Linked DNA regions of Oryctolagus cuniculus. The protein of the gene in region 2 purifies or fractionates together with the protein of the main gene of each other region. This does not show direct contact. Links are inferred from orthologs where the notes say so. Each region holds a gene or a part of one and is shown on either strand. Other genes may lie near its edges.

Region 1 (5,624 bases), on a different chromosome or scaffold from region 2:
TTGGGCGTTCAAGGAGAAAAAGAGCTGGCGAGAGTGATTCCTTGGAAAAATGTCTCCGAGCATCGTCTGGGACGTCTTGCCGCTCTCCTGATGTTTGGAGGAAGGAGAGGAGGGAGAGAGAGAAAGAGAGAAAGAGAGAGAGAGAGAGCGAGAGAGAGCAAGGCATCGCCATGCAGGATGTCAGCTGAGAAAGCTGGCGGTGGAAGATGACAAACTTTCTCCACCTGGCGAGCTAGATGTCGCGGGTGGGGGGGGGGTGCGGAACTTAGAGAACTCTGGGAAAGAGTAAGGCAGAGCCCAGCCCCGATTCCTTCAGACCTCGGGCGGGTAAGAAGCTTGACCGGGGCGTGAGCATCTCCGGAGCCTGGTCCTGCGCAAGGATGGTGTGGACCTGTCCACCACCTGCCTTACTGGAGCCCCGGTCACCCTCCCAGGCGTGGAGCTGGCTTTCCTTTGCACACGGGGAGGTCTGGATCAGCTTTAACGGGAGGATTTGGGGGCGGGGAGAAAGAAGATTAGGGCCAGTCTTCAAACAGCAGAGCAGGGACAGAAATCCCTCTCTGAGCCACGCCTCTGGGCTTCGTGCTTCTCAGCGGAGGCTGAAACACAGGCCTGGTGAGCCTCAGGCCCCACGGCTGTGAGAAGCCGCCGCCGGCCCCTCTATCACTTTGGAACCTCTTCCCTCATTCCTCCCTTGCACAACCCAGGCGCCCGGGGATGGGTGATGCAGGCCTCCAGAGCCAGCTCCTCTCGGGATCCAGAAAGGAAAGTCCAAGAGAAGAGGGAGGCCACGCCCGGGGGAGGGGGATGTGACGCCACCTCCAGGAATGCGGGCCCACGCAGGTGCGTTGGCACCCGGGAACTTCCTTCTCAAAAGCCCTGATAAATCAGCACTGCTAGCAATAAAGCTCCGTCACCCCGCGGTGGCTCAGCGCTGCGGCCCTGCTCCCAGGGCAGGGAGGGCGAGAGCTGAGAACGCAGAATCCCAGGCGACCGAGCCTGGTCCAGCGGCCATCACAGTGCACGCCTGGGCGCCCCAGGCCGTCCTGGGGGGTTGCCACGCCACATGCTCACGACGCCCAGGTGTTGCGCCTTGCTTCCCAGCCCACCGTGGGGTTTTCCAGAAGGAACACGGCACGTGATGACATCACGGATGGCAGCTGGAGCGCGTGCTGCAGACGCGTCTCTCTCAATGCCGTGAGCACGGACAGACCTGACACACACGAACACGCTTTGGGCCCCTCTGCAGTAGTCTAGGGGGCTCTTGAGACCAAACAAGCCGAGAGCAGAGCCCCCGAACGAAGGCGAAGGGCGAGTTTCGCCTGCAGCTGCCCCTGGCCACGCGGGCGCCGAGCGGCACAGGTGTTTTCCCGCGGGGTGAAGAGGGCGGCCCTGCTCAGCGTGGGGCGGTTTCCACCTGCGCTTCCGCCCGGGCGGACCCACGGCTCCGGGGAGAGGAATTCCTCACCTTTGGACCCGGCTGGCCAGCAGACACCTCCCCGTCAGCTGGGCACCCGCCAGGGCGCGGCTCGGGAGGGGGCGGGGCCCGGGAGGGGGCTGGGGTCTAGGGGCGGAGGTCCCGAGGACGCAGGAGCAGCAGCACCCCAGGCATCTGCTCGCACAGGAGGGGGTCTCCACGGCATGCAGGGAGCCCCTTCGCAGGGCGGCAGGGCCCGGGGCTCCCGTCCGCGCCCCCCCAGGGCCCAGGCTAAGCGGGATCCGGAAACCCTGCGTGGACCCCCCCCCCGGCGCCTCAGGCCCCCTCGCTCCCCCCACCGACCCCTGGGGACCCGACGGACGGGTGGGGGCGGGCTGCAGCCGCCTCCCGCAGAGCCCAGCCCACGGAGCCGAGGCGCTCCCTCAGATAAGCGCGCAGAGGCGAAAAACCTGAATTTTGCGCACGAGAGTTGCAGCGGGACCCTAAAAACACGAAAGGGTGGGGAAGGGGGCGTTGTGAAGGGCGACACAACCCAAAGTCACAGCAGGGCGGGGGCCGAGCAAGCCACTCGGTGCCTCGGCCACCGATACGGCCGCGCGCCCAGTCCCCCGCACCGAGCGAGTGACCAGCGCGCGCCGAGCTGCGCCAGCCCAAGCGGCACCAAGTCCCGCGGCGCGCGCCCGCGCGTGCGCAGAAGGCACACCCGCCGGACTCCCTCCTCAGGTGCGCTTGCGCTTCCGGCCGGCCTTCTCTGGGCGGAAACTCGAGCTCCTGCGCATGCGCTCTCCAGCTCTCTGGCGGGGTCCAGAGAGGCGGCCCCGGGCTTCAGGTAATCCCGCCCCTCCCCCGCCGCGCGGGACCAATCGTGCGGCGGCGGGCGGGACTTTGTCGAGGGAGGCCCGCCCATGCGCCCCGCGAGTCGTGTTTCGATTGGTTGGCGCCGCGGGCGCAGGTGCGCGCTTCCTATTGGGTGTGGGCGGAGCGCGAGCGGCCGAGGCTGCTCCGGAGGCTGCAGGTGAGCGCGCGCACGCGCCGCGGCTCTGGCCCGGCTCGGGCGCGCGCGCGCGGGCCCGCGGGGGAGGTGGCCGAGAGCGAGGCTGCGGCGCTGGGAGCCTGCGCTCCGCCCTCTCCTCCTCCGCCGCCGCCGCCGCCGCGGGCCCGCAGGCAGGGAGCAGCGTCCGCGCCCGCCGCGCCGCCAGTGCGCCCCTCCGTCCCGCCGCGTGAGCAGCCCGCCCCTCTGCAGGTGCCTGCGCGGAGCGCCCGGGCCGCGGCCGCCCTCCGAACCCGCGCGCCCCGCCGCGCACTCGCTCCCCGCGCGCCCGAGGGGCGGCCGGTGCCGACGAGGCCGCCGCGGGGCCCGGCGCTCGACATGAACCGCAGCCACCGGCACGGGGCGGGCAGCGGCTGCCTGGGCACCATGGAGGTGAAGAGCAAGGTGCGCGGGGCCGGCCTGGGCGGAGCGGCGGTCGGGAGGCCGGGCGCCGGGGGAGGCCGCGGGCCGAGCCTCGGGGGCCCGCGAGGGCGGGGTGGGGGCGCCGGCTTCTGGTTTCCGAGGTGGGAGCCGTGGGGCGCCCTGTCCGGGGCAGGGCCGGAGGCGCCCGGTCCCCCCGTTCGGGTTCGAGGGGGCGAGCGCCCTTTGGGTTGCTTTGCTCCCGGCCGGGCGGATTCCTGGGGAGCCCTGGAGCGCGTTTCGTCTGCGGATCAGCACCGGCACCCGCAGCGCGTGCGCTGGGGTCTCCGCGCCGCCGTCCGCTGCCCGGGTTCCGAGCTGGGCCCTGCTGGCGGCCCGGGAGTCTCGCAGGCCCCGGTCCCGGAGGCGGGCGGCAGGTGAGCAGGTGGGCTCCGCGGGCTGCGCCTGCCGCGGCTCGGCGCTCCTGAGCGAGAATAATCCAGGCCCTGGGCCGTGCCAGCCGCGGCGGCTCGGAGAGACCCGGCGAGGCCGGAGCGCGTTGGAGGAGAACAGCGGATCGGCTTCCACAGTCGCGAAGCCGCGTGGACGGAAGGGGGCCGGGGGCACGGGGCCGGGGGGCGCCCGGCGGTCCCGATGGAAGCGGGCCGGGGGCGCGGGGCCGGGGGGCGCCCGGCGGTCCTGACGGAAGGGGCCGGGGTCGGGGGGCGCCCGGCGGTCCCGATGGAAGGGGGCCGGGGGCGCGGGGCCGGGGGGCGCCCGGCGGTCCTGACGGAAGGGGCCGGGGTCGGGGGGCGCCCGGCGGTCCCGATGGAAGGGGGCCGGGGGCGCGGGGCCGGGGGGCGCCCGGCGGTCCTGACGGAAGGGGCCGGGGCGCGCGGCGGTCCCGTCCCGCGGCTCTGCGCGGCTCTGCAGCCGGGACGCGGCGGGACGATGGTGTTTGGGCCGGGCCGGGGTGGCTGCTGGTCTCGGCCACCGTCCTGTCGGGGGAGTGCGGTTGTGATCGCGGCGCGGCCTCCGTGGGCCCCGGCGGAGCAGGGCAGGGATTCACATCTCGGGTTTGTGGGAGTTGAGGTCAAGAAAAGGCACTTGTGATATTGCATCACTCAAAATTCCGCTTCCAGGCCGACCTTGGTAGCAAGTGGCAGGGAAAAAATGAGTGGAGCTAGTAGGTGCGCTGCTGAAAGAAAGCAAACATTTCCTCCCGGCGCGGGCTGGCATGCCAGGCTCTCGCCGCCTCCTGTCAGCTGACTTGAGAATCTCCCACATACCTGAGGCCCAAACCGGGTGTTAGGTGTTGGCCTGCCGGCGTCCCGAGGCCTGCGCCGGCCACGAGGTGGAATCGGGGCGGCCTGAGACCAGGCGCCGGGAACTGTGGTCCCGCGAGGATGGGCAGAGCAGTGAGGGCCCCGGCCACCCGTGCCCCTGCTTCTCGATGTCTGTTGTTGATGTGTTTACTTCTGAATGGGTTGAATAAGCTGTTTGTCCTCTTAAAAACCTCTGCTGCGGGAGATTTTTGAAGCACATTTTGCTTTGGTGCTGCTTCGGCTTTCTGGGCTCCTGGGGCAGCCGTGGCTGCGGGCTTGGAGCCAGCACTGGAGAGCAGGCGGAGCCGTCTCAGGGTCCTCGGCCCCTGCCTGGACATCAGTAGTGTCGGCCGGATTACCTTGGCCTGGGAAGGGAAGAATGGTTACAGGTAATCAACATAGTGGACAGTGTCAACAAGCTGGTTGAATTCGTGATACCAGAAACCACGTGGCTTTTCTTTGGTAACTGATTTATCTCCCTAATTGTTTCTCTAGAGTTGGGGAAGTTCTCAGTACTGATGGAGGTGCCCTTTAGTAACCTTGGGACAGTCTTGGAGCCGGAACAGTTCCTAATTACTCACAGGCGAATAGGACATTAAAATTAAGTTGTCATTTCTAAAATGTGCCAGCAGATAGTGGGGGGCGGGAGTCTGACACATTGTGAATGGCTGGGAGGAACCAGGCCGGTTAAACAAAGCTGTGAATGGGTCCTGGAGTGGGGAATGGTTGCTTGAGTCTTGAGTCTGTCTCTTGGCAGCTCTCTTCGTGTGGTAAAAAGTTCTCTACCCTCTTGTTCTGCTGCAGGAAGCGTGACAGTTTCTCTAGTGTGTTTCCCCTGCCAGCATTTACAGAGGGCATATCTGACTTTGAAGCCATAGGGTTTCCCACTATTTTTATCAAATGAGTTAAGCAAGAGAAAAAGGTTGTTGAGCAAAGAATTCTCATCCACACACTCGAGCCGAAGCAGTGAAGCCCCCGAAACGTTAACCTCTCAGCTGTCGTTCCGGGTGGTGAGTCAGGCTGAGTGATAACCCGGAGACGAATCAGGACGCAGCGGCCGCCTGTGCTGTGATGCCAGCCAGGGAATGGGGGAGAAACTGTGACTTCTGATAACATCATAGACTGGCTGATAGGAAGGGTGTTCCCTGAGTTTTTATTTGCTTTGAAACATGAAGGTGTGACCGAACTTTTTGAGAGCTTTGGATATGAGTCACCTTATTTTCTTGATGAATATTAGTGTTTATATTTCAGGAATGTGTTTTGCAAACTTTTATTTATCAGCAGCAAGAGGTGGTTTGGGTGAGTTCTAATTTTAACGTAAACCTGGTGAGTGGTGTTTAGGGCATAAGCAGAGCTGATGGGCTTTTCTGTAAAGCAGACAGTGCATCCAGATACCCAGTAAGGCCTCTGGGGAGCTGATTCAGCATGTTTATGCACTTCCAAAATGGCTAGGATTGGGGCTTTCTCTGCC
Region 2 (4,244 bases):
CAGGAGCTTCTTCCAGGTCCCCCACGTGGGTGCAGGGGCCCAAGCACTTGGCCATCTTTTGCTGCCTTCCCAGGCGCACTAGCAATGGGCTGGATCAGAAGTGAAGCAGCTGGGACTCAAACCGGCGCCCACATGGGATGCCGGCACTGCAGGCAGCAGCATTACCCACTACGCCACAGCGCCGGCCCCAGGCATGGGGTTTTGACTCCCGTTCATGGTGGCCGAGGCTGGCAGCTGGCACCTCAGGGCTGGCTTAGGTCCGGCAGTGGGTCAGGGTGCTGTGTGGTGGGTGCCACACCTTCCTTGGCCCCTCCATCCTGCTCCGCGTCTCCAAGGAGTGTGTGGTGCTCGGCTGCCACAGCCAGAGCAGGGCTGATGGGTGGCCTGGGGTTTTCTGTGGTCAAGAGGCTCTGTCTCCCCACTGTGGGTGGGGGTGCGGCAGGGGCTGGGGTGGCCTGCAAAATGAGGATGGAGGGCGGGGGCTGAGGGTGCTGTGGGATGGGGCTGGAGGGGGCAGGGTGCTGTGTGGGGTTCGCAGATGGCAGCTGCGCCCGGGTGCCGGAAGTGGCGCGCCCTCTCACGGCACCCCCGTCTCCGCAGCGGCCCACCATGGGCCCACCATGTGGGCGGGCACCAACTCGGGCTCCGTGTTTGCCTACGCACTGGAGGTGCCGGCAGCCTCGGCGGGCGGCGAGAAGCGGCCCGAGCGGGCGGTGGAAGCCGTGCTGGGCAAGGAGGTGCAGCTGATGCACCGGGCGCCCGTGGTGGCCATCGCCGTGCTGGACGGGCGCGGCCGCCCGCTGCCCGAGCCCTACGAGGCCTCTCGGGACCTGGCGCAGGCGCCCGACATGCAGGGGGGCCACGCCGTGCTCATCGCCTCCGAGGAACAGTTCAAGGTGAGCGGGTCCTCGGGGCCCTGCCCACGTTCCCCAGGCCCATGGGAATGCCACCAGCCGGCAGACACCACCTTGAGACCCACACCGCGAGGCCGGGGTGACCCCAGATGGGGGAGGCTGGCCAGCGTCTGGGATGCCCTGCACTGGGGGAGGAACGTGTGTCCGTGTGTCCCGGGCATACAGGCGGCAGGGTGAGGGCCTGGGCCCGGCCAGCTCCGTGCTCACGGGCTGCCTGCCCGCTGCCAGGTGTTCACGCTGCCCAAAGTGAGTGCCAAGACCAAGTTCAAGCTGACAGCCCACGAGGGCTGCCGCGTGCGCAAGGTGGCCCTGGCCACGTTTGCGAGCGTGGCCTGCGAGGACTATGCCGAGACGTGCCTGGCCTGCCTCACCAACCTGGGGGACGTGCACGTGTTCTCGGTGCCCGGCCTGCGGCCCCAGGTGCACTACGCGTGCATCCGCAAAGAGGACATCAGCGGTATCGCCTCCTGTGTGTTCACTCGGCACGGCCAGGGTGAGTGAGGCCTGCGGGAACGGGGCCGGGGGCTGGCCCAGGGCTGCGGCCGCCGCCTGTCTCCTGACACCCCCTTGCTTCTGCTCTCCCGCCCGCCCAGGCTTCTACCTGATCTCCCCGTCCGAGTTTGAACGCTTCTCCCTGAGTGCCCGCAACATCACCGAGCCACTGTGCTCGCTGGACATCAGCTGGCCCCGAGATGCCCGGCGGGCCAGGTGTGTGGGGTGTCGGGAGGGCCGGGGCTCCCCTGCCACCTCGGGGCACCTGCTGGCAGCACCCACTGTGGCCCTGTCCACGCCCACAGGCTGCAGGAGTCACCCAAGCTGAGCCAGGCCAACGGGACCCCAGGCATCATCCTGGCCCCCCAGAGCTGCGAGGGAAGCCCGGATCCTGCCCACAGCCAGGGAGCTGGTGAGGGACTGTGGGCCGGGGGCGGCCCTGGCCGGGGAGCCGGGACCAGCAGCTGAGCCCCTGAGGCTGGCGGGGCGGGGGTGTCTGCACCTGGCCCCCAGGGGCATGGGGCGCTGAGGGCCCTGGGTGGGTGATCACTGGGCTCCCTGCAGAGACCCCCGAGCCGCCCGAGGCCACGCTGTCGCCCATGTCTCTGGACTCGGCCACCAGCGCGGACACAACACTGGACACCACAGGGGACGTCACGGTGGATGATGTGAAGGAGTTCCTGGGGTGAGGCCGCCGCCCCTCCCTGCCCCCCGCCCCCCACCCCCTTCCTCCCCTCTGACCACCACTGCACCCCCAGCTCTCCCGAGGAGGCAGAGAAGAACCTGAGGAACCTGTCGGGGGACGAGGCCCACGCCTGCGCCATCCTGATCAAGTGAGGGGCTGCAGGGCCCTGCCCAGCGCCCCCCATCTCCCTGGGGGCCCGCACCTGGCCGCCTCCCTGGGGGCCTCGCAGTGATTTTCATAGCAGAGGGTCAGGAAGGCAGAGCCGGCCGCTCGCCCTTGGACTCACAGGTGTGTGGGGTGGGGCCAGGTCAGACGTGTGTCAGCGGCTGCAGCTGACGAGCTAGGGTCCCGCCAGCAGAGCCAGCCTGGAGCCTGGCTTGGCCCTGCCCCGTGGGGGTCTGCGCCGGGCACGGACGGCAGCTGACACCTCCTTGCTGGCGCTCGTCACTGCCGCTGTCCTGCGTGGGCCAGCACACGGGGCTGCCCGCCTCCTGCCGGCCCCTCCCCTAACACAGACCCGCACCTGCTAACCTGGGGGCTGGAGTGGGCCCCGAGCGAGGCAGCCTGGGGTGTGGGTGGCACCGGGGTGCACTGGGCCACCTCCCCGCCCCCCTCCCTCCGCAGAGTATTTTTCTAACGCCTGTGCTGGCCTCCATGGTCATTTCTGAAACTATTTTGGTACTTGCTCCTGGGCCAGCCCTACGCGTGCGTGCGTGCGTGAGAACCTGGGACCACTGAGGCCTGGTCAGATGTGTGCGTGTATGTGTGTGTGAGGGGAGTCGGGCGGGCCCTGTAGATTGTACCTTGGGGGGATCTTTTTCTGTCATTTTGTTAAAATTAGTGGTTTTAGTATTAAAAATACTGATTTTTTAATATTGAAAATAAAAGCATTTACTGTCTCTTAGAGAACAACCGCCTGTGCTTTATCCCCGGGGGGTGGAGTCTGCTCTCCCAGGGCACCGGCGGGGCTGTGTGCTGGGGGACGCAGACGCGGGGGCGGGGCCGGCGCGGGCCTAGGCCGGGGCCTGGCGGAAGGCGCTCCAGGCGTGGAAGCAGCGGGTGAAGGCGTGCTGCTCGTTGCCTTTGCGGACCAGGCGCAGGCGCCGGGGCTGCTCCTTGGAGCGCAGGTGCTGGATGTACACCTGGGGGCCGAGGGCGGGGGGAGAGGAGGTGGGCGCAGGGCTGCATGCGGCCGCCCGCCCCGGGCCCCCAGCACCCGGCCCCCGGCTCACCTGGCAGGCCTTCAGGCTCAGTTTGATCTCCACCTGGCTGGTCTGGGTGCCCACCCACATGTAGACCTAGGGGGACAGCAGGCGCTGCAGTGCCGCACTCACGGCCGGCCCTGGGAGATGGGGCGGGCGGGGCGGGGCCTCACCTCCTGGCCGTTGTCCAGCAACATGATGTCGTCGTCGGCCAGGTCGTCCTGGCAGAAGTCGGAGCACTTCTCAGTCACGGCGAAGTAGCCCTTGTCGTTGGAGCACCTGAGGGGCGGGGCAGGGCGGGGCCGCTAGGAGTGAGCAGGGGCAGGGGCCGCCTGGGGGCGGGGCGGGGCGCAGCCCTGGTGCTCACCGGAAGAGCCGCGTGTGCTTCATGTACTCGGCGTCCTCGTCGTAGGGCTTCTGAGCCCCGATGCCCACCCAGAAGAAGTTCTCGGGCTCCTCCCCCTCGTTGATGACCTGCGGGGAGGGTGTCAGCCCCACCCGGGCCCCAGCTCCCCCCCTGCCCGCCCCGTCTCCATGCACCTGCCCCTCCACCTGTCCCTGCCCCGCCCCGCGCACCTGCTTGCTGTAGGCGGCGTCGAACATGGTGTTGAGGATGTCTTCCGCCAGCTTGGCCTCGTCCGGGTCCGACGCCCGGCCCACCCAGGCGTACACAATCCCTTGGTTGTCCTCGCTCTCAAAGGGGACCTGGAGAGCGGAGCCGAGGCGGCCGGGCGGCTCAGGCCTGGCCCCGGCCTCGCCCCCACCCCCTCTCCCCTACCCCCCGCCGGCCTGGCTCGCCCACGCCCCCACCTTGAGGATGAAGCAGAACTCGGAGTTGAGCAGGCTGGAGTCCGTGTGGATTTGGATGCACCTGCGAGGGGAGGGGCGTGGGGCGCGTCAGCGAGGGGGCGGGTGGTCGGGGGCTCCCCCGGCCCTCCCCGCCCGCCCCCG

What was found.
Region 1: the proteins of LLGL1 (region 2) and PARD6B purify together in Homo sapiens (affinity purification with mass spectrometry; 5 studies listed by BioGRID and IntAct, counting the BioPlex papers as one, with this or other methods). This does not show direct contact. The link is inferred for Oryctolagus cuniculus from reciprocal best matches to the Homo sapiens genes LLGL1 and PARD6B.

The regions. Positions count from the first base shown.
Region 1 is NC_091442.1:10,161,719-10,167,342, reverse strand, and holds the start of PARD6B (partitioning defective 6 homolog beta), read left to right. Parts: upstream 1-2,490; 5' UTR 2,491-2,807; coding exon 2,808-2,873; intron 2,874-5,624. UniProt on the Homo sapiens protein: Adapter protein involved in asymmetrical cell division and cell polarization processes. Probably involved in formation of epithelial tight junctions.
Region 2 is NC_091448.1:62,277,775-62,282,018, reverse strand, and holds the end of LLGL1 (lethal(2) giant larvae protein homolog 1), read left to right. Parts: intron 1-600; coding exon 601-896; intron 897-1,142; coding exon 1,143-1,407; intron 1,408-1,507; coding exon 1,508-1,622; intron 1,623-1,711; coding exon 1,712-1,818; intron 1,819-1,970; coding exon 1,971-2,091; intron 2,092-2,164; coding exon 2,165-2,243; 3' UTR 2,244-2,990; downstream 2,991-4,244. Other genes in the region: FLII (protein flightless-1 homolog), read right to left, coding at 3,105-3,233, 3,324-3,389, 3,467-3,572, 3,661-3,767, 3,870-3,998, 4,104-4,164. UniProt on the Homo sapiens protein: Cortical cytoskeleton protein found in a complex involved in maintaining cell polarity and epithelial integrity. Involved in the regulation of mitotic spindle orientation, proliferation, differentiation and tissue organization of neuroepithelial cells.